2 linked regions of the Notamacropus eugenii genome follow. The protein of the gene in region 2 interacts with the protein of the main gene of each other region in a pairwise test. Links are inferred from orthologs where the notes say so. Each region holds a gene or a part of one and is shown on either strand. Other genes may lie near its edges. The genes, in order: RCBTB2 and FARS2.

Evidence for each region.
Region 1: the proteins of FARS2 (region 2) and RCBTB2 interact in binary tests that used the Homo sapiens proteins (3 or more experiments, as listed by UniProt). The two-hybrid records come from large-scale screens. The link is inferred for Notamacropus eugenii from reciprocal best matches to the Homo sapiens genes FARS2 and RCBTB2.

The regions. Positions count from the first base shown.
Region 1 is NC_092876.1:107,952,169-107,967,974, reverse strand, and holds the start of RCBTB2 (RCC1 and BTB domain-containing protein 2), read right to left. Parts: upstream 8,002-15,806; 5' UTR 7,949-8,001; intron 7,831-7,948; exon of another isoform or gene 7,678-7,830; intron 7,494-7,677; exon of another isoform or gene 7,382-7,493; intron 1-7,381.
Region 2 is NC_092875.1:175,228,268-175,244,206, reverse strand, and holds the start of FARS2 (phenylalanine--tRNA ligase, mitochondrial), read right to left. Parts: upstream 5,974-15,939; 5' UTR 5,643-5,973; intron 5,614-5,642; exon of another isoform or gene 5,040-5,613; intron 1-5,039. Other genes in the region: LYRM4 (LYR motif-containing protein 4), read left to right, coding at 7,464-7,549. UniProt on the Homo sapiens protein: Is responsible for the charging of tRNA(Phe) with phenylalanine in mitochondrial translation.

The sequences.
Region 1 (15,806 bases), on a different chromosome or scaffold from region 2:
TTGCATAAAAAGATGACTACTCTCCTTGTCAAAGTCAATACCTTCACTCTTGATACCACTCTCTACCGTTTTCTCTGTCTCTCTCTTTTTCTCTCCTCCTTTGTTCTCCTTTTCCTTTTCTTTCTCCTTCTCTTTCCCTCTATCTCCTTCCCTCCTTGTCTCTCCTTCCCCACCTCTCACACATATTTAATCTTTCCCTACCAACTGGATCCTTCCCAGCTGCCTACCAACATGCCCATGCTCCCTCATCCTGAGAAAAACTAAAAACAAAAACATCTCACTGGGTCAGCCAAACCCATTATCATTATATATCTCTTCTCCTCTTCAAGTCTAAAACCCCTTGAGAAGACCTTCTACAATAGGTGCTTCCACTCTCCTCCATCTTCCTCTATATCCTTTGCAATGTCTTCCAACCTTGTCATTCCACTGAAACTGCCCTCTTCCAAGTAACTGCTGATCTCGTAATTGCCAAATCTAAGGGGCTTTTCTTTTTCTTGATCGTCATCCTTCTTGACTTCTCTGCAGTCTCTCTCACTGTCAATTACTTCTCCTCCCTGATACTCCCCCTTCTTTAGATTTTCATGGTCCTGCTCTTTCCTGGTTCTCCTCTTACCACTCTGACAATTCCTTCTCAATTTCCTTTGCAGGTATTCTTTCAAGTCATAACCACTAGGAGCAGGTATTCCCCAAGCCTGGGCCCTGGGACTTCTCTTTTACTTCTAGATTACCTCTCTTGGCAATTCCATTGGCTCTCCTCGATTCAACTCTCACTGCTATACAAATGATTCCCATATCTATATATCTAACCTTGATCTCCCTCCTGGGCTCCACTCTCATTATCACTAATGTCCTCTTGGAAATTTCAAACTGGATGTCCCCTAAGCATTTCAAACTCAACATATCCAAAACAGAATTCATAATCTTTCTCCTAAAACTCTCCTTCTCAACTTTCCTATTACTATTGATGGCACCACCATTACTCCAGTCAAGCAGGGCCACAACCTCAGTGTCATCCTCAACTCCCCACTTGCACTCACCCCACATATTCAATCTACTATCAATTCTTGTCAGTTTTACCTCTCTCACACAGCCATCACCTGGTACAGGCCCTCATCACCTCTCACCTGGACTATTGCAATAGCCTTCTGATTTTCTCACTGTCAAGTCTCTCCACACACTAATCCATCATTGATTCAGGTATCAAAGTGATTTTCTAAAACGAAGGTCTAACCAAATCACCTTCCCGTGCCTCCCACACACAATACATTTCAGAGGCATCCTGTTACCTCCAGGATCAAATATAAAAAAATCCTTTTTTTCTTACTTAAAGCCCTTCACAACCTGGTTCCTTCCTGCCTTTGTGGTCTTACATTTCACTCCCATCCAAATATCCTAAGATTGATAGGTAGGCATAGATAAATTGACAGATTTTTAACAGGGTGGGGAAGGGGGAAAGAGGCCTGGAAAAAAGGCCAGGCCAGGCCAGGCCACATGTAAAGCAAAAAAAGGGGTGAGGAGGGGTTGAGGAGTGGGCAGAGAAGTGGAGTGGAGGCCTGGGTCCCTGAAGGCTAAGGCAAAAGCTGAGTTAGGAGAGCACAGGGACCTAGGGAGGAGTGGAGTCCAGGTTACCATTTGGGAGGAGGTAGAGGCAATGATCCAAGTAGTAGAAGCTGTATGGTTGGAGCTGAGACAATGGTCTCGTTGCTGCTCTTTATCACCCAGGACATTCCATCTTTTGACTCAATACATTTGCCCTTATGCCTGTAACACTGTCCTTCTTTACCTATGACTTCTAGCTTCCCTGGCTGACTTCAAGATTCCTTCAGGCTCAACTCCCACCATATGCAGGATTCCCCATTCTCTTCCACTGCTAGTCCTTTCCCTGTAAGATTATCTTCCATCTATACTATGTATATCTTGTATGTACATGGCGGCATGCTGTCTCTCCGTTATAATGTGAGGTCCCTGACACCATGTTTTTGCTTTTCTTTGTATCCCTAGTACTTAGCACAATGCCTAGCACTAAAAGTTAAGTGACTTGCCTAGGCTCTCACACCCAGAAAGGGTCAGTGGTGAGACTTGAATCAAGATCTGCCTGGCTTTAAGACCAGCTTCACTAGGGCACGCTGTCTCTCAAGTGTAGGAAGAGATGCTATTATTATGCCCATTTTCCCGAGAAGTGAGCTAAGGCTCAGAGAATTAAGGTTACTCAGTTAGCAATGAGTGGATTGAACCAGGTTTTGAACCCAGGTTTTCTGCACTACAAATCCAGCACTCTACTATAACAAAGGTGTCGAACACTCCTGAGTTAGGGCCAAACCAAATGAAAATGTAACTGGGAAATGCTTAATAAAATAAATAAAAATACAATAAATACAATGTTGCATTTTAAAACTAAGTTTTAAAAGAGAGCCTAGGCAAGTCACTTAATCTTTTAGTACTAGGCACTATGCTAAGTACCAGGGATACAAAGGGAAGCAAAAACATGGTGTCAGGGACCTCACATTACAATGAAGAGAAAACACGCCACCATGTACATACAGGATATATATGGTATATGTGGAAGATAATCTTACAGGGAGGGGACTAGCAGTGGAAGATAATGGGGAATCCTGCATATGGTGGGAGTTGAGCTTGAAGGAATCTTGAAAGCAGTCTGCAGAGATCCTTATGTTTTAATAGCCCCTGTTTCTACTTGAGTTTGACATGAATGTATTACACTATGTTGCCTTTCAAGTTATGCAGCACGAACAAGACTACTAATTAATTATACAGTCTTTCCTGACATAGACATAAAACCATCAGCAATACCATCCTCAGATTCTTTGATTATGTGACCTTAGGCAAATCACTGACCTTCTCAGTGATCCTGGCAATTCTACAAGACTATAAAGTTGCACAGAAAGTGCTCACACACCAACTGAGCGAATTTCTTCCCTTTCAAGTTCCCTATGCCAATGAAATCACAGATCCAGTCTCTGTCCCTAAAAGAAAATGAGATGATATGCAACCAAACTTTAAAACACTCAACCAGCCTGAAAGAACATAGAATGTGAGTTCTATTTTGAAATCTCCCAAGTCCTTTCAGAAGATACAGAATTTGGAGAGGAGTTCTAAGTATAAGGAAAACAGAAATATTGTAGGATCCAGGGAAAGGGTGCAACAATAACCTAATAGGTAAGTCCCCCTCCAGAAAGAAGGGCAATCTATGACAAGGCACTCTGTTCAAGAGAAAAACTGAATGTAGTGAGAAAAGCAGACTTAATAACCTTTGGCAGCCTCTAGTGAGATGAGAAAGTCAAAGTTGGCCTTCAGAGATAAACTATATAAGCAAGATATTCAGAACAGCTCGAGATTGTGATAAGGTAGGGGAAAGCCAGGGGAGAGTGTAACCTCTGGGAACTAAGACAAGCAAATGAGGAGTAGAGGAGGTGTTAAGATTTTAACCAACAACAGGAAGAGTCATCCTTCATTGGAATGAGGGGAGGGCTGCCAGAAAGTCCAATGCGTTTTGGAATCTCCTGACTGTCCGGATGCCAGATGGGCAACATGATTCTCTTCCAGGGAATGTATCCCATTAGCTACAGACAATAAACAGAAAGAGTAAAGTTAACACCAGTTCACCTCTATCTCATTGTAATCTTGGGGAGAGAAATAACTGATACACCAAGGTTGGGAGGGATTCGCATACCTTTCTGAGATAGTAGAGGCTCCTATGGGATAACTCAGATACCAGGCTGAGATTTGCCAAAGGGCAGCAGCAAAATGATTTATTCCCTGGGGAAGACTGGCATAGTTGGCTTCTAGCCTGTCAGTCATAGTAGAACAAGGGCTTCATGGAATCTCAGTACCTCTCCAGGGTGCTGGGATTGTTTAGTCCACAAAACAACCTGTCTGACCGTGCTCAGACAGTGATTCCCCTAACAGGAACCACATGCCCCCAGGTCTGGAGGTCTTTCCTTTTTCAAATCTCCTTTGTGTTTAGGGAATACTGACTGGGACACCTAACTTCAGCCAGGACAGCATTAATATTTACAATATTAGTAATGTTCTCAAATGATACAGATCTTTGCTGAATAACACATATTAATTCATCGCTAAATACTGACTGAGCACCTGCTATATGCAGGGTAGCTTTTGCTCATATTCATTAGATTAGTGAAATATAAAATCTATTTATTTCAATATGACATATTTGTGTATGCATAAATACAGTGTTATAATATAATCACAACCTAGACTTCTTTCTCAAATACTAAGCACTAGGATTTTTTTTACCATCAAACATCTTCCATAAGATGTTCTCGTAAGATGACCCTTTAGGTCAGAATAGTAAGATTAAAGACATGTTAGAGATATATCCCAACACTGAATTAACACAGAAAAATACTATTATACTCTCAATCTCCTGGACACAGATTTTCACATTAATGGGACAGGCTTAGCCATGTGAACTAGACACCTGCTCTCTCTGACTAATGAATGCTAACAGGATCATGGCAGTCTTACAGTAAAGGAAACTGAATCTCTCTTGCAAAAATGGCAAGATAACTACTCTTCTGAAGGCAATCTCATGTGGCAGTCTATTTTCAGCCTCTAAAACTAACCCTTGATGTCAGCAACTTTGCTAACTCCCTTCCTGGTGTCAAATCTCCCCTTTCCTGGATCATTTTATGATTTGTAATCATGAAACTCCAGTAAAACCTGGTGTTTATTTTTTAAACAATATCTCTGGGGCCATTTTAATTTACTTTTAGACAAGTGATGAAGTAAAAGCAAAAGACCATGATATCCTGAGGGATGTAAACAAAAAGGTTCATGTCTTCTAATCTGATTACTATAGACTAATAGGTTTTTGACATTTGAGAAGCCCTAATGATGCGACAAATACAATTTACTGCCCCAATTTTTCATTCTATTAGAATCTTCCAATCTAAGCATTCTTAATTAAGGATTTAATGAGACTTGGTACACAACTTCTCTGGTTCTATGTAAAGATGAGACTAAGAGAGCTTATTAAATGAAATTTACAAATTTCAGTAAAACACCAATATCAAGCCAAGTAATGATCAGTTCTTTCTCTACTGAATTTCAAATCAAATGCAGTTTTTCTCCCTCTTATATATAAATCTCACCAATCATCCAAGCCTTTCTAATATCCAAAATATACTTTTAAAAGTTTAGCAACTTGTTTCTAATAGTTTATTCTGAGAACTTATACAGGATTGGAGATTTAAAACTGGAAGAGACTCTAGAGGTAATCTAGTCTAACCCACTCATTTTTTCAAATGAAGAAACTGAGTCTATGGGAGGTTAAGTGACTTTCAAAGGTCATACTAGTCTTAAGTGGTAAAGCCTGAGACCTGAACCCAGGTCCATTTGACTCCAGATGCTGTGTGCTCTTTTTTCTTTTCAAATATGCCACCCCTGTGCTCTGTAATTGTTGTTGTGCTTATCCTTCATTCTCGAAGAGGAACATGACATCAAGATGATGACATGACTTGTACCTGATTTTGATTTGAGTGAGGGAGAGCTGTGCAAGTTCACCAACCTCACCTTCTTCTCCTAAACCATCTGGGTCGAGAGGCCTGATATTCATCAGGATGACTGGACGTAGCCCAGGATGCAGGTTAAGGTCTTATCACATTCTCACTTTGAGTGAGATACACCCATTTAATGAATAGGCTTCTTTAAGTATTTAAGGGATGGCCTCTTTAATTAAAAAAAAAAAATTAGTTAACTTAAGGGATGGCCCCTTTAATAAAAAAAAAAATTAGTTAACTTAAGGGATGGCCCCTTTAATTAAAAAAAAAAATCTACCTGGGAGGGGAAGACCCTCAGCGTTCCTGGGTAAAAAAGAAACAATTACTATTTAGTAGTTATCAAGTGGTGCAGTGGATAGAGGACTGGGCTTGGAAATAGGAAGACTATCCTCCTGAGTTCAAATCCAGTCTTAGGCACTTACCAGCTGTGTGACTCTGAGCAAGTCACTTAACCCTGTTAGCCTCAGTTTCCTTACCTATAAAATGAGCTGGAGAAGGAAATGGTAAACCGTTGTGTTGTTACCAATTAATTAACTGGTTATCTGGTCCTTTCCAGTATGAGCCACAGCTGAATTATTAAACCCTAAATGGCATGAGCTCTAGTACCTGAAACTCCATGCTATGGATGGCAGTGACAGTGGCTACAGTATGCCTGGTTAAGCCCTTCTCTGAGCTTCCATCCCCCTCCAGGAAAAAATTATTGAAGCATGAGAACATTTTCCATGAATTACAAGGCAGGGCATTTAGTTTTAAAAACCACTTCCCATGTTGCTCAGTAACTTCAGTTCACATCTTCCTCCCAATGTGCAAAATCTTTTCTTTTTCCCTTGGGATGTTAAGCTTAAATTATTACTTTAAACATTTTCACTTCAAATGTTTCACAAAACATTTTTACTTCAAATGTTTTCACAAATGTTCGGAGGGCACTTACACATTGCCACCTACGAAACTGACATCACATAGCTGAAACTCAAGACTTTACAACTAGGGACGCATGCATGTAACTTTCATTCCTTCTCAAGAAGCTTAACTTCTGTATTAGAATATTATACTACATTGTACTATATAGAGTGGAATTGAATTATACCATTCCAACATATGCCATTCTATACCGTTCTCTACCCTACTCAGAATAAAGTAAAGGGTATTCCGCTGTACCACTGACCTAATATGAGAGGCACTCTATAAAACAAATAATTAACACTTACATACATTATTCTGCTCTGACAAAGTATAATAATTAAGAGGTGTAATAAAACTACATGTAATAAAAGTGTAATGTACCTTTTATAATATTACATGTAAAATTATATGTAATAAAATTGGAGTTTTAAGAAAAAAATCTTCTCTATTACTAAAGTTAACTTTGCATTACAGTGTTGTTCCAAAATAGTTCATAGTTTCAAAATTGCATTCCAACTGGAATAGCATTCTAACTTTTAATGAAATTTTGCTACAACAAAAGCCACAGTTCAATCATTTACTGCACCCATTCCTAAAAGTGGCCAGGCCATGGGAAAGTTTGCAGCTTTGCAGTTCCACACTTCCAGGGCTGAGGGGAATATCAGAAAACATTTTACATTCTTTCTCAGTCTGAGAGAAGAAATTAGGTTTTATCTCCGCGTACTTCCAAACCAGCTTTTCCTAGCTTGCTGGTACTATTTCCCTAATGTCAAGGGATGCCAGGACCAAAGGCAGAAGTATTTCAAAAGCGCAGCAAACAGCAAAGACAGCACGAGGGTACAAGTTCTTAGCAGACGACGTGCAAACAAGGAGGGGAGGCGGGGTGGGGGTGGAGGAGAAATGCTGCGGGGGGAGGGGGAAACGCAGGCACTGACCTGAACTTGAACAGAGCTGGAGGTTGGCGAAAGGAAAACATAGGGACATGGCAGGGGGTGGGTAGAAGGTAGGCGGGGGAGGGGCGGAACCCACGTCAATCTCCCTCTTCTTAGACGTTAAGAAGGCCCGTAAGCCAATCCCGTCCCAGATCAGCCCAGGCCCCGCCCCTCTGGGGAAGCGGTGGAAGATCAAGGAGATTCCCGGCGTCCGCCCCCACGTCCCTCCCCGCCCCGCCCTCATCCCGGTCCCTGGAGCTTCAGGGCGATTGGCACCGCAGTGACGCGCGTGCGCGCGCGCCCCCTCCCGCGAGCGGGCACGTGCACGCCGGCGGGAACGATTCCCTGCCCGCCTGGCCGCTTTTAGTGTGGACCAGGCGGGAGACACGGGGCCAGGGCGGTCGCGGCGGAGCGTCCCGTCCTTCTCTGCGATGCCGCCACCGCTGCCTCAGGTCGGCGGGAGCTGGGCCCGCGTCCCCGAGGGAAGGGTAGAGGGTAGGGGCAGCCCCCCCTTCCGTAAAGGAGCCCTCATCAGCCTCCACGCCCGCCCCACCCCCGCGCCTCTCCTACCTTCCCGGTGCCCGAGACGCGTCCCGTTCTGCCCGGAGTTGGCGCCTCCCCTTGAACTTGCCCCGGCTCCCGGCGGGAGGGGCGCCTCGGATTCCCGCGGAGGGGAGGGGGGACGGGCCTCCTGCCGCGACGGCCGAGAAGCCTCCCCACCCCCGCCTCTCCTCTCCCCTCCCCCTCCCCTGGCCCCTCCCCCTCGGCCGCTTCTCGGCCCGGGCTCGGGAGAGAAAGGGGCCTGCCCCGCGATTGGTCCGAGTGCCCCGAGGCCCCCACCCCGCCGTAGGAAAGTGTCGGTCCTCGGAGGTCTGAGTCCACATCCGCCGTCCAGGGGCGGGGGGGGCGCGGGGGAGCTGGAGGACTTTCCCCAGACTCCTTCCCGCCTCCTCTCCTCCCCTCGTCGGGATCGCTGGCGCCCTCTTCTTCCTCTCAGAACCGCGGTCCTTGCCGCCGGCCTTGCCTCCCCCCGCGGGGCCGGAGCGCCCAGCCAGCCCGCGTCCACCGTGCCGGGCCTCGGGGGAAGAGCTGGGCACTGCCAGGGCCGGCAGTGTGCGCCTTGGACCTTGTTAGTGTTAGGCGTTACTACTGCCGCTAGTCATTAAATTCTTAATAAGAATTTGTAAAATGCTTTGTTCTATGAAGTGGACGTGTGGCGGGGGGGTTTAGATAGGATTGAAAGAACCGTAGCCCAAGGTCAGAAGACAAGCCAGAGAATTGAGACTGCAATCCTCTAGGTCCGGGGTCAGGAAGACTTCTCTTCTGAGTGACCCTGGGCAAGTCACTTCACCCTGTTTGCCTCAGTTTCCTCCTCTGTAAAATGAGCTGGAGAAGGAAATGGCCAGTCTCTGTGCCCAGAAATCCCCAAATGAACTCTCGAGCAGTCTGTTTATGAATATATACATTGTTACCACGGGGGAGAGGAGAGAACACAGTTTACATTTTAGCACAGCACGGTACATTGCCATAACAGGAGAGGCCCGCTGAAACTTTGAGCTTAGTTTGGAAAGTTGTTACATAGTCATTAAGTGTTAGGTGTGTAGTAAGCAGAGTTACTTCCAAAGTTCCTGAAACAATCGAGAAACTGGAAGGAATAAATGAAGACTTTAAAAGGAAAACTCAAAAACTTTGATATTGTATCCCTAGCAATGGTAAGAAGAAGGCTATCTCACTGATAACAGCCCAGTTTGGGCAGGTTTAAACCTTTAAATGGTAATTGTTTAGGAGTTTGAAGTTTATTATACTTTGTATCTTCTATCCTTGATTTTACTGCTTGGGTCCTTGTACCACAACTCACTCCCACCCCTATGCCTAAATTAGGAAGGATTTTTTTTTAAACCAGCTGTGATTTCACTGGTATAAGAGGATTTCTTGTAAAAGAATGGAATTATGAGGCTACAGTACCAAAGTTTCTGGCCTTTTGTTTTTTCAAGCTTTTCCTGTTCCTTCCAGTCCTCCAATGCTTTAGATGTATCTCTACACACCTAACAGGCCTGCAGCAACTTTCAGAACTACGCTAAAAGTGTAAGTGAGCCTCTACTTTTTAAAGAGGCACTGTACTGGGGTAATATATAACATATGTTACCCCCTTCCATGTCCTTCATAGTAGCTACATATACATGTGTTAGATTTCAGAGCACGTGCTCTGAAACTTAAATCTTAGCTCTAGAGTTTCCTAGGACACTGGTAGGTAAAGTGACTTCCTCAGGGTCACAGGTCCAGAGGAAGGACTCAAATCCAGGTCTCTCTGACTGCAAGTCCAACTCCATTACCCCACACAGGAGTTATCATGATTAATTATTTGACTTTGTAGCACAAATCTGGCTTATGTGAATTTGGATTATAAACCACTCGACCAAGACTGAGTTACCAGGATAAATTAGTTAGTCAGGGATTTATAACTGATAAAGTTTTTGGAAGTTATCTAGTCTAGCCCCCACTTTTTAAATATAAGCAAACTGGGGCCAGAGAAGTCTGACTTCCACAAGATTTCTCAGCAGTAAGTAACTGGTTGGAATTCAAACTCAGGTCCTTTGATTCCAAGTCCACTTCCCTTTTCATTGCATTTATACCTCTCATATGTCAATCCCACTATTGGCCATCTTTCCTCACACTAGTTTCAATCAACTGTCCTCTCTCTCTCTCTCTCTCTCTCTCTCTCTCTCTCTCTCTCTCTCTCTCTCTCTCTCCTCCCCTCCCCCCATGGAGGTTAACATAAATTCTTTTCCAGCTTTTGTTCTAGACCATCTGTGTTGAAAGATTTTTGTGTTCCTACTGTTCCTCTTTCAGAATTTAGTTCAAACTCTTTTGCCTGGTATTCAAGACCCTTCACATTTTGACCTCCTTACCCTTTCAGTCCTTATCTCAAAACATTCCCCTCTACAAACTCTGTGAACTCCTAGACTACTTTATTCCTGGAAAATGCTTGCCTGTGTCCTATCTCCATGCTTTTGTATTGTTCCCTATGCCTGGAAAGGAAGTGTGGCATGTTGGAGCACTGGGTTTGGGGTCAGAACCTACATTTTAATTCTAGCTGAGCTGCTTACTCACAAGTCATTTCCCCTTTCTGGTTTTTAGGTTTCCTTATCTGTAAAATGACTGGATTGGACTAGATGAGGTCCCTTCTGATTCTAAATCCTAGAGTTCTGTAAATATCATCTCTTTTCATATATTGAATTCCTACACATCCTTTAAACTGTAGTTCAAATGCCAGCTCTTCCATGAATACTTCTCATACTCCTGTCAGTTAAAACCTTATCTTGCCCTCTTCAGCCTTGAGCTCTTATTCTGGTCATCCTTCCTCACTTATCCCTCTTAGAATTTCTTGTTTTCTTCAGAACTATGCTTAAGTACCATCTTCTGCATGAGGCTTCCTCATTCCCACAGCTGCCTAAGACCTTTCTTCCCAAAACATTTATCTTGCATTTGTGTGTGTAAGTATACATGTATATATGTGTACACACACACACACATATGTCTCCTTCCAAGAGACAGCTCCTGGAGGGCAAAAACTTTCATTTTTCTTGTATTCTCAGTGTTAAGCTCAGGTCCTTGAACAATGGTATTTGATAAATTCCTTTTGCTTATCTAAACTGTATATTCTGAAATGCCTGAGTCTTTTGTATCCAGAAGGCACTTGATGATTGCTGAATGAATACACACACACACACACACACACACACACACACACACACACACATACACACACACACACCCCACTTTGTAGGAGAAATAAGGATACTTTGCAACTGAAAAACAACTGAACAGGATAGGGATCTAAAACAAAAATCCTGGGATTTTTCAATAAAAATAAATAAAAATGTTTTAAAATTTAAAGCATTTTCATAACCTTTCATATTCGGGACCTTGTTAGACTTTTCTGTGTTCTCCTTACACAACAAACACCAACTACATAGGAAACTTAGTATGTGTATGTAGCACTACCAGGTAGCAGTAGTGACCTGGAAGAGAGGCACATTTTGACAGTGGTAATGAAATATTTTCTAGCAGGGTAAATGTCTCATGCAACAAAAGGATGCCTTAAAAGAAATGACCTCATTCTACAGGTAGCCATATGATTAATGCCAAACGTTGTAAATTTAACTAGCCATATACATTTTTATAATGTAAACAAATACAGTTTATTTTATTTACATAATGCAAATAAAAGTAATGGATCATTGTCATTTTATTCTGCTTGAAAATAATGGTTTAAGGGTAATAAGGCACACATAGCACTTTGCATACTTTAAAGCAATGAGTGTAAACTATTTTTACTTTAAAAATCTCCATTAAAATGAGGCATTTGGCAAATTTTATTAAGATGCTATTTTTATTTCCATTGCTTGCTGCTCTTTGTAATAGAGTAGGAAGGGATTTCACAAATCATCCAATACAGATAACGAAACTGAGGTACAGAGAAGTTAACTGATTTGTGTAGGTCAATCAGCTGATCAGGTTTCCTGATTGCTAGTCCAGTGTTCTTTCCATGGGGACAGCTAAGTGATGAAGAGTATATAACGTTGGACCTGGAGTGAAAAAGACCTAAATTCATATCCTGCCTAGACATTAGCTTCTTGACCCTGGGCAAGTCAACCCCTGCCTACTTCATTTTCCTTATCTGTAAAATGGGATAATAATAGCACCTACTTTCTAAGACTGTTGTGAGAATAAATGATGAAAATGTTTCTAAATGGCTTTGCAATCTTAAAGTACTATGTAAAATGTTAATTAGTAATAGTAGTAGTATTATGCCTTACTACCATTTTAAGACAGTAAGAGAGATGTCATAAAGCAGTACTTACTTGATACAGATAGTTCTGTCATACTGGTCTGTTGTCCTTCGTTCTCCAAGAGGACCAAAATGACATCACTATGATAAAATCACGTTTCAATGTGTCTGAGTGTAGCTGATCAGACTAATACAAGCTCAGAATCCCCTACCACAGATTGGGCACAATCTGTGGCTTTGTGAACCTTTGAGGTGGCTACTCTAAAGTTGCACATCCTGCATTTCCTTTGAGCTGTTTCAGTTCTGCTTTGCTCATAGAGCACAGCACATTCTCTGATGTGGGCACTCTGTGCTAAGCGGTCCTGTGCCAGTGTCTCCCATGTCACACAATCAGTTCCAAAGTTCTTGAGAGTGTCCTTGTATCGCTTCTTTTGACCACTACATGATCATTTGCCCTGTGTGAGTTCTTCATAAAATAGTCTTTTCAGCAAGCATACATTTTGCATTCAAACAACGTGGTCAGCCCATCAGAGTTGCCCTCTCTGAAGCGTAGTTTGCGTGCTTGGCCATTTAGTTTGAGCAAGGTTTCAGTGTCTACCTTATCCTGCCAGGTGATCTTCAGAATCTTCCTAAGACAATTCAAATGGAAGCAGTTCAGTTTCCTGGCATGGTTCTGGTAGACCAGGCTTCACAGGCATACAACAATGAGGTCAGCACAACAGCTCTGTAGATCTTCAGTTTGATAGTCAGTCTTAATACCTCTTCTCTCCCATACTTTCCTTAGGAACCTTCCAGACACTGAGCTAGCTCTGGCAATGCATGTGTCAACCTCATTTTCAACGTGTACATCCCTAGAAAGTATACTGCCAAGGTAAGTGAACTTAACCACAGCTTTCAAAACTTCTCCATTTACTGTAACCAATTGTACAGCACTGCATTTGCTCATCTGGGTCAGAACATTCACAAACACCAAGACTGGTTTGATGAAAATGATGTGAAAATTCAGAAGCTACTAAATGAAAAACGAGAACTCCACAGGATTTACCAGCAGGATAGTTCGTCCGTCTTTAAGAAGACAGCATTTAATTCCATTAAAAGTAAAGTAAAAGCAAAGCTTAGAGAGATGCAGGATTCCTGGCTTAGTAAGAAGGCAGATGAAATTCAGTCTTATTCCGATAGTAGCAATCCAAAGTGCTTTTGTGATTCCCTGAAAGCTATTTATGGACTGAAAACCTATGATGCTTCACAGCTACTCAGTGCTGATGGAACCACGTTGATTAGTGATAAGGACATGATCCTAGAAAGATGGGCTGAACATTTCCATAGTGTTCTCCACAGACCATCATTAATCAATGCTGAGGCCAATGACCATTTATCTCAGATTGAAGTCAATCCCTCCCTAGATGAACCTCCAACTGAAGAAGAGGTTTTGAATGCCATTAGGTTCCTTTCATGTGGTAAAGCACCTGGTGCTGACTCTTTTCCAGCTGAGATTTGCAAGGCGGGGGTCAATTGCTCATATAAAAGCTGACTGAAATTTTCCAGGTTATATCCCCCAAGAGTTCAAGGATGCCTCCATTGTCCATCTCAGTAAAGGTAAAGGAAATAGATTGTCCTGCGACAATCACAATAGGGTCTCTCTCTTAGTCATTGCTGGCAAGATTCTTGCCAGAGTCCTCCTTAATAGACTAATCCTTCACCTGGAAGATGGTCATCTACTTGAGAGCCAGTGTGGCTTCAGAAAGGGCCAAGCAACAGTTGATATGATGTTTGCTGCCTGACAACTCCAGGAGGAAAACAGAGGTCTGTACACAATCTTTGTAGATCTGACTAAGGCCTTTGATACTGTTAATTGTGAGGGCTTATGGAAAATTATGTCAAAATTTAGTTGCCTGGAGAAGTTCATCAGTATTGTATGTCAATTTTATGACAGCATACTTGCCCAGGTTTTAGTTAATAGACAATGCTCTTGTGCCTTCCCAGTCACCAGTGGAGTGAAACAAGGCTGTGTGCATGCTTTCATGCTTTTTTTTCTTTTTAGCATGATGCTTTTGTCCATGTTGTCAAATGATTTCAGTGAGGATGAACATGGCATCGAGGTCAGCTACCATACTGATGGTAAATTTTTCAATTTGAAAAGACTACATGCCGCAACTAAAATGGAGGGAGTGTTGGTGCATGCTTTTCTGTTTGCAGATGATTGTGCACTCAATGCAGCCTCTGAAGCTGAGATGCAACCAAGTATGGATTATTCTCTAATGCCTGTACTAATTTTGGTCTAACAACACAAGAAAATACACATGCTCCACCAGCCACCACCACCCCATCCATATGTGGAACCATCAGTTATAGTAAATCGAGTTCTATTATATTACTACATTCTTAAAATTCAATTTTTCTTATTTAGTCTCTATTAAAAGTTTACTCTTAACACAGTGTTCCAAAAGTGTCAGCAATTTTCAAACACTGTGGCTTGAAACTTCAGTAAGACTTTTGGGACACCCTTAATTATAATAGATGGAATCTTCTAGATAATTCAGAACCTTGACCTCTTAAATGCCTTCATCCTGAACTATACATACATACATACATACATACATACATACATATACATATACATATACATATACATATATATATATATATTTTGCTTTTGTACTTACCTTCACAATGAAGTTTTTAAACAGTTTCCTCTACTTGATGCTCTGCAACGGATGTTGGTACTACGTAAGCTGCAGTTTTCTTTACGATCATTTGTGTTGCTTCTCTTTCTGATTACATTAAGGCAAAATAACCAAAAGGCCTCATGAAGTTATGTTTCTTGTTACCTTTGACTGCATGATGAAATAGTCTCGTATCAGCTCTTTGATTGTCTTCTCCCTGCGAAAGACATTAATAAGTCACAGCAAAATGGAAACCACAAAGATGTCAATGTAGATAGAATTAGGGTTTTTCGGTAGTGACAACTCAGGCTCACTGGACAAAATTCATACACTGAAAGTATCAATGTTAAATTATCATAACAATGATAGCATTTACGTAGTACTTTAAGGTTTTTCACAGTGCCTTAACCTATGCTATCTCGTTTGTAGAAAGTCTGAACATTGATTCTTAGCTCCAGCCTCTTTTTACCACTGCCAATGCTGAAGTAAAAAGGAGCTCCACAAATCCAAGTGTAATTTTGTATGTATTTTATAGAGTACAACCCATCCATAACTTATCCTGTGTCCTATAACTCTCACAGATAAGGATGGAGAGGATGCTCAACGTATTAGAGACCTTCCTATTGGTCTCTTGATATTATGTGAATAATACAAGCTGTTCATTCCTCATTTTCACTACATTGCCTCCTTTTCCATACATCTTTCTACATATCCTTTAAGCTGAACCTCCCGCAATTCTTTCTTCATAGTATGTTACCTATTTCTCTGGCCCACTGTGTATTTCTCTGTTGTCTTCTGGGTGACTCACAACTTTTACTCTTTGAGAACTCCAGTGACTATACATTATCACCAGAAGAAAATTGATGTTAAAAAGATGGACTTTTAGTTTGAGGACTCAGCTCACTCATCATCCATCCTTCAGTATCTAAAAATGACATATACACTAGTGGACCATCCAATTGTATAGAAAATT
Region 2 (15,939 bases):
TTTCTCCTTCCACAACATGTCTCCTAAATGTCCTCTTCTTTCCATCCACAGTGAACATGCTACAGCAGGTTCTCATCATCTTTTTTATAAGAATTGTGGCAATGGACATCAAGCCAGTCTCTGCCTCAAGCCTCTCCCTACTCCAGTCTATTCTCCACTAGACAGCCAAAGTAACCTTTTTAAAATGCAGGTCTGAATACATCACACACACACACACACACACACACACACACATACACACACACACACACTTCAAAGAAACTCTAGTGGCTCCCTATTAGCTGCAGGTTCAAATACAAAATTTGTAATCTCAGCTACAGAGGATGCTGAGGTTGCTGGATCAGTTCTGAGCTACAATGGGCTCAGCAAACTGGGTGTCTTGACTCTGTCCAGCACCAATACAATGCGCCCCTGAGTGGAAAATGAAGTCTAGGTCAGAAAGAGTCAAAGTTTCAGTGTTAATCAACAGTGGGATCATGCCCATAAGTGGCCACTGCACCTCAAGGCTGGGAAACAGAAGGAGACATAGTCTCAAAACAGACAAAAAAGGGAAGGTAAGACCACATCACACTCCCCTACATATCAAATTCCAATTGGAGAAGGTAAAGGAACAAGTACTTATTAAGCAACTGCTATGTGCCAAACACTGGGCTAAGTGCTTTATAAATACTATCTCATTTGATCTTTTCACAACAACCTTGTGAGGTAGGTGCTATGCTCCCCATTACAGGTAAGGAAACTGAGGCAGACAGAGGTTATGTGACTCGCCACATAGTCAGGAAGTGTTCTAGGCTGGATCTGAACTCGTCTTCCTGAATCACACCCAAACAATATCTCCATCTCACCACAACTCCTCCCTCTTACTTCCAGACTCAAATATGAAATCTTGTTTGGCTTTTAAAGCCATTCACAACTTGTCCCCTTCCTATCTTTCCAATTTTCTTACACTTTACTCCCCTCCACATACTTCACCATTCAGTGACACTTACCTTCTTGCTTTTACTCATACCCCATTCAACTTTCTCAAAGCCTTGCCTTTTCGTTGACAATGTCCCATGCCTGGAATGCTCTCCATCCTCTCCTCCAACTTCTGCCTTCCCTGGCTTCCTTCAAGACTTAGCTCAGTAAAATATTACAGGAAACATAGCTTCCCTTAAAACTGTCAGAAGTGATGGTGACTAGAGATTTGAATTAACCAAATAAAAAGAGAAAAACTAAGTATCTGTCTGGACTGAGTAAAACTAATTTAGAATAAAGTTTCACACTGAGACAGAACTACAGTCTGATTGTTTATTGGGTTTTGTGCTTAATTCATCAGTGAAACATAACTATAGTTTCACTGATGTGGGATATCTATTGATTCAAGTAGACTGACAACTTCTCCCTACCTTAATAAATAATCTTTATAAGCTACTCTAGGGAGGAAAAAAACGTCATCACCTGGTTGCCAGCCAATGGCTAATGATGAGAGTTGCTTTCTATTAATGCCTAATTACAATGCAACATAATAATACTTAAGTATCCCCAATTCAACAAACATTAAACCCTTATGTATGGCAAAGCACTGTGCAAGATAATTATAAACTCATTCAGGACAAAGATCTTCTCGCATTTATCATTTATATTAACAGCTTAATTTGCTGAATCAATAAATGTCTAAATAAATAATCTATGCTATAATTTTATCATTAAATGTCTGTCAGATGAAGCTTTTGGTAAATCTTATCTGATTGCAATAAACTAGTTTTAGGCAGGTGCTACTCAGAGAGGATAGTTAATTATTTGCACATACAAAACCAATCAGAGGGAATACCAGGTACAAGGAATTAGAAGACTTCCTGTCTGTTAAAATACAGGAAATTTAATTTTTGTGATGATGCATTTAGCTATGATTTCCAACACATCTTTTGGAAGGACATATTCATGATGGTCAAGTGTAAGGCTTCAAAGCAGTCCACAAGCCTTTGGTTTCTTTCATTTCTTTAGCCTAAACCATGTTTTAACACACATTTCACCATTCCTTCCTGTGTCCACTTTCATAATGAAGTCATCAACTATTAATGAGTGTTTTGACTTGTCTGGAACTTGTCAAGTGCTTCACAGAATTTCTTCTAATTCTTTATCCTCTGCAACAGCTGCCAGTAGTAGGTGATGTAATGGATAGAATATTGGTTCTGGAATCTTGAGAGACATGACTTCAAATCCAACCTCAAACAATTACTAGCCATGGGACTTTGGCTGAATCACTTAATGTCTGTTTGCCTTAGTTTCCTCAACTGTAAAATGGGGATGATAATAACAGCATCTATCTCTCAGGGCTGTTTTCAGGATTAAATGAGATAATATTTGTAAGGTGTAACAATGCCTGGAACATAATAAGTGCTATATAAATGTTAGCTATTATTTATTACTGTCATTATTACACTTAGTGGAAAAGGCATAAAGATCGCTGGATTTGGAGTCACAGGAAATTTGGCTTTGAATTCAGACATATTTTTATCCAGTTGAGTGATCAGACACATGTCAGTCAATCAATCAATAAGCATTTATTACACGTCTACTATGTTCCAGGAATAAATGAAGTAATTAATGAGCATACAAAAAAGGCTGAAAATTATCCATGTACTCAAGGAGTTCAAAGTCTATTGGGAAAGACAACATGCACACAAACAAAATTATATACAAGATGAACAGGGTCCACCTCAGAGGGAAGGAGCTAAAACTAAGGATGAATGGATAAGGCTTCCTGCACAAGGTAGGCCCTTATTTGAATCTGCAATGTAGAGAGGAAGAGGGAGAGAACTGGGGAACAACCAGAGAAAATGCCAAGAAGAAATAAGGAGACCAGTATCACTAGATCAGAATACATAGAGGAGAGTTAGGTACAAGAAGAAAGGTAGGAAAGGGTCAAGCAATAAAGGGCTTTAAAAACCAGAGGACTTTTTATTTATCCTGGAGGTTAGAGGTAATCACTGGCATTCCCTAACTAGCAGAGTGACATAAATCTGCACTTTAGAAAGATTGATTTGATGAGTGGAGGATTTACTGGAGGACAGAGAGACCAGCCAGCAAACTATTGCAATAGTCTATGCATGAAGTGATGAGGGCCTGCAGCAGGATTGTGGCAAGGTCACGGAAGAGAAGGGGGCGAATATGAGAAATATTTTTTAAATAATATAAAGAACAAAACTTGAACACTAAAAGCATATGTGGAGTGAGAGCTGAGGATGACACCTGGGTTTCAAGCCTAGGTAACTGGAAGGATGGTGATACTATCAATAGTAATAGACATCAGGAAGAAGGTTTGAGGGGAAAGAAAATGAGTTCAGCTTAGGATATACTTAAAAATGTCTACAAGATATCTAGTTCAAGATGGCAAATGCAGTTGGAGATGTAAAACTGGAGGTTTGGAGAGACAGTATTGGAACAAGTAGATCTGACAGGCAACTGCAGAGAGATAATAATAGAAACCATAGGAGCTAATGAAACATCATGTGAAATGGTACTGAAGGGAAAGAGGCTCATTTAACCTCTCTATGTCTCAGTTTTTTCATTTACAAAATGAGGAAATAGTCACTACTTCACAGGGTCATCGTAAGGATCAAACAAGATATTGTAAAGTGTCCTTCAAATCTAATTGCAATAGATAGACGTCAGTTATTATTTTCATAGAATCTTTTTGCTAAAATTCATCATGAACTACAAGACAAGATATACCAAGTGTCCCATGAAATTATTTTTTATGCTGCTTTTGGGTAGCTGATCAAATAAATCTATCAGTTCCTTAATTTGTCTCTCCAAGGAGAACTTGTGAGGTCCCCTTCAATTTACAACTAACTTAATTTTATATTCAGGATTCATCTACTAAAAGAATATCAGTATTGATGTGGTTTGGTTGATCTAACAGTATGTCACTGTGGAAGTAGAATGAGGGGAATTTTTTTATTTGTCTTTTATTCATACTTTAATATGACCAAAGAATTCAATAATTTTTTGGTCAATCTAGTAGTGATGAACTTCTCCATTAAATAGGTGGTTTCTGGACAATAAATTTAATCTTTACCTGGGACAATACTCAAAATGTTTTCAACCTAGTAAAAGACCCCAGAGCTTATACTCTGCTGACTTAGCTCTTAACAACTCAAGAGAGTCAGTTCCACATCAATCTGAAGCATTTGTGTAAATTTGTAATTTCAGATTTTTTCTATCTACAATTTTGTTGAGTTTAAATGTGGTATCTCAAGAACAATATAAACTCCTTGAGGTCAGGGACTGCTTTTCATTTTGTATTTCTATCTCCAGGGCCTAGCATAGCGTCTTTCAAACATTATGGACATAATAAGAACATGTTGGTTACAAAACAGGAAAGTACTGGATATGTAATTTGGCTATCAGGACTTATGCCAAAAACTGTGTAGACAGGGAGAGGGCAATAAATGGGGAAAACCACCTCTCAATTCATGATGATGAGATTTATATGAGCACTTTATCTAAAATACAAATACTGAAGAGAGAGAGATAGAGACACAGAGAAAGACAGGCAGTAAATAGTTAGGCCTGGGGTCAGGCACTTACTAGCTTGTGAACCTAAGCAAGTCACTTGCCCTTTCTCAGCATCAATTTCCTCAATCATAGAATGGTGATAATAATAGCAGTCAGCTATCAGGATGGTTGTGAGGATCAACTGCAGTAACAAGCACTATTAAAATGCTTATCTCCCCCCCACTATTACACCCTGAGTTATATAAACACAGTTAATATTTTTATAGATTTCTAAAAACTGACATTCAGTCTTATATTGCAACCACCATGAGCACGTGACAAATTCACCATGAAAATCAATGCAGCTCACGAGCTAAAATCTGTTCTGATACAGAGAAGTTGCATGAAGAATTCCACCAAACCTATAGCACTTAACCCACACAGACTGACATACTGTGCAAAGGCATTCACTGGGAAGGATCAAGTATGGCAGAAAACACGGATCGATTATTTAAAAAAGAGGTAAAATACCTATAGTGTACACAGAAGATGCATACCAATCATGAACACTGTCTTCAAAAAGCAAACCGAGAGTGTCCGATATGCGATTCTGAGAGGGGAAGAGTGGGGAATAGCACAAAGGAAAGGACAAGTATCCTCCTGCGCTGGAGTATAAAAGCAGTCCTCCGAGTCTTGGTCGTGCGACGTTTCACTCCTGTAACACTGAAAATCAGGTGAAGTGCTCTGCAAACTGCCAGCCTCCCAGGAGGGAGGAAAAGACAGAATTTCGTCCCAGCGTCGAAAGCTAGTACCACGGCACTAGTCAAAGACAAGAGGGGCAGGAATGTGCGTCACGCGATTTCTGGAGGGTCTGTCCATCCTAAATGCCTCAAGAAAACGCTCGTCCGCACTTCTTGCCTCGTTCCTGAATTTCCCGTAGACTCCCTGAACTACAAAATAAAGACTTTTTTTTTAAGGCGCTGAATTTCTGCAAGCCAATCTTACTGCTGATACTTCCCCCACAAAACGAACGCGACAAGACTCCTCAGCTAAGCGCCAACACACGCTGGGGAATGCCTGGTCAGAAAAGTCCAGGTCCCACTTCAAGCTCCCGCTAGTAACCCGCACCAACATTTCCAGAAGGTCGGCTCCGCACTCACCAACTACTCTGCCAGAACTGCGGAGACGCTGGAAATGTCAACAACTGGAGATTCGGGCACAGATTCGCTCTCAGGAAAGGGACTTGAAGTGACTGAAGAACTAATTCTCGTGTACTCTGGGCGCCGCCATCTTGAAACTCACGCGGGGCCTTTCTGAAAAGCCGCTAAACAAGTCGTCCTGAAAAGTGCCTGAACATAAATAAAGGAGCCTTCGCCTAGCAGCTTCACCAGGCACCCCTCAACTCCCTGTACTGCCAGCATTCTACTCCCTGAGCTTCATTTTTCTGCTCTGAACTCTCAAAGAGCAATCAGCTTTGGGTAGGAATGTATTAAAACTACAGGCAATGCTTTAGCTAGCTAAAAGCCCACAGACTAGAGGAGCATGTGAGGTTGGCCAGCCTGTTGCAACTGACTGGCAAGTTTCAAAACGGGTCCTTAGTGTCACAGGAGCATAGATCTATGGTTGAAAGAGGTCGTTCAGGTCAGCCCTATCATTTGATAAGTGATGCAATTGAAGCCCAAAGACATGAAATAACTCAGGATTCTGAGTAGGAGCGGGTCTCTGAGATCCAAATCTCACTGAAAAGGCAACCACCTCGCTAAATTGCTCAGGCTCTCCTATGAGAGGAGAGTTCTACCATTCCACTTTGGATAATCCTCATTATGAAGGAAGGAAAGAGGAAAGGAAGGGGGAGGGAGGGAGGAAGTAGGGAGGAAAGAAAGAAGAAAGGAAGGGGGGAGGAAGAAAGGGAGGGAGGGAGGAAGGAAGTAGGGAGGAAAGAAGAAAGAAAGAGAAGAAGGAAGGAGGTAAGAAGGGAAGGAGAAAGGAAAGAAGGAAGGAACGAAGGAAAAAAGGAAAGGAGGAGGGAAGGGAAGGAGGGATTTTCTGAATTTTCTTTCTGCAGCTTTCCACCTCATTCTGCCTTGTAGGGCAAAACAAAGTAAGTGTAATCCCTTTTCCATCTGACAGACTTTCGGATACTTGAAAACATCAATCTTATCTGCTCTGAGTTTTCTCCAGGCTTGCCAAATGTCCTACAGGTAGTGAGATTAGAACTGTCTATTTCATCTTCAACCCCAGTGATAGGAACTGCGTCCCACCAGGGGCATACTACAGATTCAGACCCAGGGACGGGATCTGAAAAGACCTAAGAAAACGGGACTAGGAGTTAGGGAAGCCTGCAGCAAGGTGATGCACCTCCTACTTTACTTGGGCCTACTTCTGCCTCCTACACCCCCACACACACCCATCCTGTCTGAACTCCTCTTCCCGGCTCTAGAAGCTGGAAAAGCCGTTGCTCTCCTGCCTGAACCCTGCAGACGGAGCAGCGGCCCTAGCCCCGCACCCCGTGGTTCGGTCCTATTTTCTCTGGCCCTGCATCATCAGTACACTTGAAATGGACCAAACAGCAAATAAGAACCAGGGGGTGGTGCGGAGGGAGAGGGCAGGCGCCCCGGCCAAACAGTCCTAACTTGTTCCCAGCTGAACTGCCCGCCAGCCCCCGGCGGGACCTGCGAATGCCCGCCGATGTTTTGACTTTCCTGGTCTCCCACGCCTCCCCCGCTTAGCTGCCCGCGGAGCTGCCTGTTTTCTTTTTCCAAAACTTCTCGAGCTCTAGAGCCCTCGGAGGGTCCTGGCTGGCGCCTGAGAAGCGGGGAGAGCGGAGTGTCGAGCTCCGGGCCCAGCCCGCGGGCCCTGCCCGGGAGCCGAGGGGAGCTCGCGCCTCCTCGGCCCCGGTTTTTATTCGAGTCCGCCCCTCCGGATCAGGCGGGGCCTCCGGGGAAAGGACCGGTTTGTTTTCTGCCCCACCCCCTCCCAAGATGGCAGCCTCCAGTCGGGCACAAGTGTTAGATCTGTACCGGGTGATGCTGAGAGAGAGCGGCAAGTTCACCTCCTACAATTACAGGTGACCCTCGGCGGGCCGGGGCCGAGGTGGGGAGGGGGCACGCGCGGCCTGGGAGCGTCCAGCTTCCCCCACAGCCCCTGGGAGGGCAGCGCGAACCCACGCCGGCTCCGGAGGGCTACCCGGAGCGGGGACCTGGGGGGCTGGGGCTGGGTGTGCGAGGCGGCTGTCCTGCTGGTCTGTGTCCTGTGAAGCCTGTGGATCCCTTCCCGGAACGAAGCTCTGGAAGGCGTGAAGCAGAACACATGGGGTGACGGAGAAAGCCGACCCTGTGATAATACGGTTGTCTAACTGCGGGGGGAGGCGGCCCCCCGGCCCGGCCGTGCGCTGCTCCTCAGCAGGGAGTGTGCTGGGAGACGGTCCGGGCCGACACAAAGCCCTCTCTGCACGATTACTGAGGTTCTAGTGATACGTATTCATAGTAATAATAGTGAGTGGTAATGGCTAGCACCCCCCCCCCAAGACTGGCAGAGTGGTGGGCACGTGTCACCTCCTTTGCTCTCCAACTCCAGGAGGTCATTTACGGTAATAAGGTGTGCGGGACACTTCTTAATGGTGTAAACGGAAGGACAAGTTTCTCTTTAAAGGAGGGATGGACATTTTGCTTAAAAAACCAAAAATAAGTATTGTAACAGGAAAGAGGAAAAAAAGAGGAGGAGGAGGAGGAAGGGAAGGTGCAAGGGACTGAACTGTGTTCCCCTCCTCTTTGACCCTTCTGGTCTCCTGTGCCCTTGGCCAAAGCTCAGGCTTTCAGAGCTCCTGGGAAGAAATTAATGCATAACCTGTTGCATGTGGGACTTCACCTAGGGAGAGAGGAGGTAGTCTCCCAAGTGACTTGTTATAGAGCTTTCTGTCTTAGTCCAAGTTTTGGCTACCATATGGTTTGGGAGATTTTTCCCCCTGTAATATGATTCTGACATGCTAGAAATTCAGGTATCTCAGCTTTCAAACCAGCTAATGTGCTTCAGAGTTTCATTAACAAAAGTGGAGGGAAGTGAGAAGCAGACTATTCATACCACATTTGGAGTATTGTATTCAACTCTGAACTGAACTCTTAGAAAAGAACTTAAGTTGTCTCTCATACAGAAATAGGTATACCAGGATGATGATGAGACTCAACCATCTTAATAGAAAATTATTTGAAGTAACTGGGGATATTTAACCTGATGATATGATAGATACTGTCAGACATTTTGAAGGTTGTAATTTGTGGTTCCAGAGGGTAGAAGTAATTTCATTGCATAGATATAATGGCAAACTTCAGTTTAGTGTAAAGAAAAGGTTCCTAATCATTTTAGACAAAAAATTAAGTAGGCCCTCACAGGAAGTAGCGGGTTCTTCTATGACGGGTAGTGTTCAAGCAGCAGGGGGACGATCACTGGGCAGAATGTTGTAGTGAGGATTTAGGCATTGTGTAAAGGTAAAAGGTAACTTCTAGCATTCATTCATTCAGAAAGCATTAAAATACCTACTGTGTACCATGTCAGGGAAAGATGCAGGTTTATTTGTTGTAGGACTTGGAGAATACCCTTAAGGAAATTCCAGTCTAGGAAAAGGATAATACAAAAACACAGATAACTGCGATGTGCAAGAAGTATATTACCAAATGCAAAACACAGTGTTCTGAGGTGCAATGAAAAGGTCATTACCACTGGGAGAGATCTTTGAAGGCTCAGTGGAGGAGGTAGGATTTGAGGTGGGCTTTTCAAGATAGTAAGAATGCAGTAGGCAAAGAGGGACATGGATAATATTTCAGTAATAGGAAATGGCATGAGCAAAATCATAGGAGTATGGTGTCAAGTTCAAATAGAAATGGATCCCTGCAGGTTGCATATTTAATAAAAAGCCACAAATTACCATTATGTAGTATTTTTGTATATTTTAAAACATTTTCCAATTATATTTTGATCTAGTTCTGGCAGCACTTGGGGAATCTTGCAGGACATCAGGTGACCCTAAGAGTTTGACCCCTCTGCAGTAAAACAATCTTAGAGGAAAGAATGACTGGAATGGAGGGTGCTAAACCTTATTGCCTCCTCTTGTGTGCTAAGCCCTACCCCAACATCCCATACCTCACTCTTGCATGCAAATTGGTAGAATCATCCTGGTCTGTGCTCCTGACCTCTAAGAACTTAACTCAGATCCATCTGGTTACAAGGAAACGGTATTTTCTGTACTTGTAATAGGAAGAAGACTGAGACATTGTTAGAGACTATACTTGAATTCTTCCCCAGATTAGGGTAAAAATTATTAGCCACAAGAGTCCTCATGGTATAGTATAAAAAAACACTACAATTAGAGCAAAGAAATTTGAATTTGAATCCCAGTTCTGCCAAAACAAAAACAAAAACAAAAAAACAAAAAACCCTACTTTGGGAAAACGTTAGATGGAATTCTAGACCTTGAGTCATCAAAAAAGGAAATCAAATTCAGCCTCAGACACTAGTAATGTGACACCAGGTAAGTCACTTAACCGCTCTCTGCCTCAGTTTCTTCATTTGGAAAGTGAGGATAATAATAGCATCTACCTCCCAAGGCTACAAAGAAAAAAGTGAGAATATTGGGAAATCATTTTACAAATCTTAAAGTGCGGTACAAAAGCTAGTTATCTAGTTTCATTGTTGTTACACTGCAGAATTTGAACTTCACTTAAGAGGCACTAGGGAGCCACCTGAGGTTTTTTTTTAGCAGAAGTGTGGCACAACCAGATTTATGCAGGAAAAAAAATTAGTAGGGCAGCAAATTAAAGGATGTATTGAATAAAAAGAGTAAAGGTAAGAAAACTCTTTAGAAAGTTCTGATAGTACTCTAGGCAGGGAAGACTGGAACTAGGGTTGTAGCAATATGAATAGAAAAAGGTTAGGTTCAAGGGGTACTGCAAAGAGAAAATGGAAAGGAATTGCTAATGTATTAGAAACTGGAGATGAGGTTCATTTCAAACACAGGTAATCAGGACATTGGAGGTATTCTCTCACACACACACGCACACACCCCATGAAGTAAGGAGAAGCAAATTTAGGCGTAAAGATAATTCATTTTTAAACAAATTAACATTTGACCACAGCTCATTGTAGATATGTAAACAGAAAAGAATTTAATATGTCCTAACAAGTTGTTCTAGGCCAATTCTGTAGCTTCAGTTAATAAGCATTTATTAAGTGCCTACTATGTTCCCCCATTCTAGATAGATAGATATTTTCAGATGGTAGAAGAACATTAACATCAAGAATTAGAGAAGGCCACATGTAGTAGATGGCCCTTCCATTGTGCTCTAACAAAGCTAAGGAATTCTAAGAAGCAAAGATGAAGAAGGGATTCATTCCAGGCCTAGGAGGCAGCCTGTACAAAGCCTGGAGATGGAATGCCATATAAAGGGAGCCCTGAATAAACCAGTTTGGCTGGAACATAAGTATGTCAAAGGGAATCGCTTTGAATAAGTCTGGAACAGTAGGCTGAAGACCAATTGTGAAGTATGTCAAGTGCCAGAAGAGTTTGTACTTATCCTCCCGGCAAGAGGGAAATGCAGGTACTTTTTGAAGCAGGAAAATGATAGGATCCAACTTGAGCTTTAAGAGTACTTCACTTTACCCAAAGGGCTATAAAAATGTGCATACCTTTTGATCCAGCAATACAACAACTAAGTCTGTATCCCCAAAAAGATCATCAAAAAAGGAAAAGGACCTACATATGCAAAAATATTTATAGCAGCATTTTCTGTGGTGGCAAAGAATTGGAAATTGAGGGGATGTCCGTCAGTTGAGGAATGGATGAACTAATTGTGGTATATGAATGTAATGGAATACTGTTGTGCTATAAGAATTGATGAGCAGGCCAACTTCAGAAAAACCTGGAAAGACTTAATAAACTGATGCTAAGTGAAGTGAGTAGAATCAGAAAAACAGTGTATACAGTAACTGCAACTTTGTGTGATGACCAACTTTGAAAGACTTCGTTCTTCTCGGCAATATAGTTCTAAGACAATTCCAAAAGACTCATGGAAAATGCTAACCAATTCAGAGAAAGAACTGTGGAGTCTGAATGCAGATTGAAGCACATTGTTTTCTTTTGTTTGTTTTTCTTTTTTCTTTCTGGTGGTTTTTCCCTTTTGTTGTGATTCTTTCACAACATGATTAATGTGGAAACATGTTTAATATGATTGTACATGTTTAGCCTTTATCAGATTGCTTGCCATCTTGGAGGGGAGGAGAGAACAGGGAGAAAAAAAGTTAGAACTCAAAAGCTTATAAAAGTGAATGTTGAATACCATCTTTACATGTAATTGGAAAACAATAAACTGCTATTAAGTGGGCGAAAAAAGAATATCTCCCTTTGGCAGCAATATGGGGGATGGATTAAAAAGGGAAGAACATTGAATTAGATTAGAGTTAGGAGATATTTGCAGTAGTCCAGAGCAATATGTGAGGAGAAGATGCCAGCTAGTGGAGAGGAGAGTGGTAGGAGAGGTACAGTATTTGACAACCGATTGCATGTGTAGCATAAAGCATCAAGAAAAGTCAAGGATGATTCTAAGGTTATCAACTTGGTCATAGAAAGGATATTTGGTAACCTCCATAAGAGTGGGAAAGTTAATAGGAAGTCTTTTGTAGAGAAAAATGAAAACATTTTTGTCAGTGAAATGAAAGAGGCTACCTTCCCAGCTCTGTCACTATCTGTGTGAACTTGGGCAAATTCTTTAACCTCTATGATCCTCAACTCAATGAACTTGTAAGTACTCTTCCAGCTCTGGCAACCCATGAATCTAGGACAGCAGTATCTAGAGAAGGCTTGTTTTGCTTTTTAGGGTATTAGGTATAACCTGACTCCAACCTATCTTTCCAGGCTCTTTGTACATTTTTCTCTCCATTCTGTGATCTTACTATTCCTCTGTCCCTTCTACATGACATTCCATTTACCATTTCTGAGATGTCTTCCTATGAGACTGTATACCCCATTCATGAAATAATTTTTCCTTTAAACCTCAACTCAAGCACCACTTTCTGTATGAAGTTTTTCATGACTCCATCAACTACTAGTGTTCCATCCCTCAAAGTACCTTGTATCTGCCCACTTTTGTATTTGTGTGAATTCATTCTTTTTATATCTTTCCCAGTCCCCAGAGCCTAGCATAGTACCTGGCTTTGACTGATTGATTGAGTGACAGTTAAGCAAAAAAAGAAGAGCCAATGAAGAGAGAAAGATTAATGATGCAAGAGGGAGAGAGAGAGAGAGAGAGCAAAGCTCTGGAGGATGATGAAAGGAATGGGGTAAAGAACATTGACTGTAGTGTTAGCGTTGGGGGAAGAGAAGGAAGTCCTCCTTTTCCAGTGAGTCAGGAGGCAAGGAAGAGAGGTTAGGTTGAGAGAAATATTGAAGCAGGGAAGAATGTGTGATCCATAGGTGGGAAAGAACAATCAGAGTATTTCAATCAAGTGGCTTTAATCTCAGTATAGTAAGAGGCAAGGTCATCTGCTGAGGGTCAGGGAGTAGGGAGATGAGGGAAGGATAAATTCAACACTTAAGGAATATGAAAAAAGTTTGAAACAGTTAATTGTAGTGGGAGTTATTTAATCTCTAACTATTTGACCAATTCTGCCCTTCTCCCTTGATGAAGTCAAAGATAGTAATGGGCAGAAAGTAGAAAATGAAGTTGGTTAGTTAGTTGGTTGGTTGTTGTCCTTTGTTCTCAGAGAGGACCAAAATGACATGACTATGCTAGAGTCAGGTTTTAATTTGTCAGCTGTGGCTGATCAGAACAATACAAGCTTAAAATGCTCTACCACAGGTCAGGCACAGATAGTCCATGTGAACATTTGGGGTGGATTCTCCAAGTTTTCTCATCCTGGGTTTCCTTTGAGCTGTTTCTGTTGTGCTTTGCTTATAGAGTATAGCACCTTCTCTGATGTGGGCATGCCGTGTTGGGTAGTTTTGTGCCAGTGTTCTCCCATGTCACACATCAATTCCAAGTTCTTAAGAGAGACCTTTACAGTGTCCTTGTATTGCTTCTTCTGATCACTATGTGAAAACTTGCCCTGTGTGAGTTCTCCATAAAATAGTCTTTTTGACAAGCTTATGTTTTACATTTGAACAATGTGGCCAGCCCACCAGCGTTGTGCTCTCTGAAGCAGAGTTTGAATGCTTGGCAGTTTAGTTCAGTAAGGACCTCATAGTCTGGTACCTTATCCTGCCAGGTGCTCTGCAGAATCTTCCTAAGACAATTCAAATGGAAGCTATTTAATTTCAGGTTCGGATTCAGTTTCAGAAAATGAGGTAATATGTTAATAAAGTGCTAAGACATGTTAATACCCTGTCATTCCTTCATAAAGTGTAAAGGAGTTTTCCTTGACTGAGTTAGAAAGGGAGTCTGAACATTAATTGCTCAAAGATGGTCCACAATTGAATGATCCTCAGAGGGCTGAGATCTCCAATTTGGGAGCCAGTTGTAACCCGGGTCAGCAGTTAGACAGGAACCTAGCCCCTGAAAAAGAATTGTTCTTCACCTTTGATAGTGCAGTAGGAGTCAAGGAGGAAGGGATTACTCTCTTCTCCCTCTCTGCCCCATCCATCAGCCAACCACTTTAAAGTAGAGGTGTTCCACCAAGAGGAGACCCTACATTTAGTTGGAAACAGAAACACATACTGACTAGAGAGAGGTGAACACAGAGAAGTGGTGATTTAAAGAAAGAAGCAGCTTCAAGGAACATGACTCTTGGCAACAGAGAAGGAAGCTAGCTGTAAATTCAAGGGAGAGCTGACCCTGACCCTGGAAACCTAGCTAAATAATTCTATCGTCCAAGACCATTTGCCAAGTGGAGGGATGGCTGTGCGAGATCTCCATGACACTTCATATCCCCTGTGGTACCCGATGTATAAGTGTTTAATTAGTTGCTCTTTATCTTATTCATTACATTATTCTTATTTCATTCCATCTGAGTAAGACTAACGTAGTGAATAAGATACAGAAGCAAAACCAAGATTTGTCCCTCCAGCCCTAACCCTTACTGCCTGTTCGACATTCCAGACTACTTATGGGCATCTAAAGTCCAATATATTCATTTGTTCTTTACCCTCAACTCCCCCACCTTAACCAACTTCACTGTTATTATTAAGGGTACCACCGTCCTTCCAGGCATTCTAGTTTACAACCTCAGGGTCATCATTCTCACTCACTACAGCTATCCATTAAGTTGCCAAGTCTTGTGGTTTTGATCTATACATCTTTTAGGCAATCCCTTCTCTACTCACACAGCCACTGCCTTGGTTGAGGCCCTCCTTGCCTGGAATCCCATGGGCTTCAAGTTGTTCTCCCTCCCCTCCAGGTTTTTCCCACTGTAATCCAGCCTTCACATGGCTGCCAAAAGTGATTTTCCTAAAGCACATTCTGATCACTCAGTAAACTCTCAGTTACCTCTGTGGACTCTTCTGTGTGGCATCTGAAGTTCTTCACAACCTGGCCCCTTCCTACTTTTCTAGACTTCTAACACTTTAATCCCCTCTATACACTCTGTGGTCCAGCTACATGAGCTAACTCCCCATCTCCCATTCGCATGCCTTGGTACTGACTGTCCTCCACACTGGGGAGCTTATCTTCACTTATTTGCCCAGGTTTCCTCTAGGCCTTCACTCAGCTCAAACCCCGTCTTTAACAGGAAGTCTTTCTCTATCTTCCTACTTACTAGTGACTTCTCCACTTTCTAGTGACTAGCAATTAGAGTTACTTTCTATCTACTCTGTATGTATCTGCATATACATAGGTATTCCCTCATTAGAATAGAAGCCTTTTAAGGGGAGTTAATTATGTCTCAAGGATGATTTCAATAACTTGTAAGGAAAAATTAGATGAACATGCAGGGTGTGGACAGGGTTATTAGCATATTGCTCCCATATATGGGCAAAATAGGTAAAAATGCACTTAAATTAGTTCTGAAATGCAGAAAATAGTAATGGCCAAAGGAATCTCTGTAGTTTTGAAATAAACTATATAAAATCTTCTGATATGTTTTAACAGTAAGGGAAAATGGAGTTAACTTTAACTTTTTAAACTTGGCTTAACATTTGCAACTAATCCTTTTCTGGATCAAAGTATGAATTTAAGGACATTGAATTGATTTTTCTTAGAATAGCCAGTTTTCCAAAAATATCCAACATGTCCAAATTACAGGAGGAAATTTATTGTTACAAAGTGAATTTACTTTTTCTTTTATTATGACTAATAAAATGATAATTTCTTTTAGTAGAAATACTTTTCAGAGTATTTTGGCATGAGAAAGCCATCATGTTTCTCAATAACAGAAATCCTCTGTGCTCTATCCCTATATTGTCGCATAATTTCACAAATGCCTTTTCTTCTAATGATTTTTCATAAAGTTGACTAATTTTGTAACAACTTGAAATAC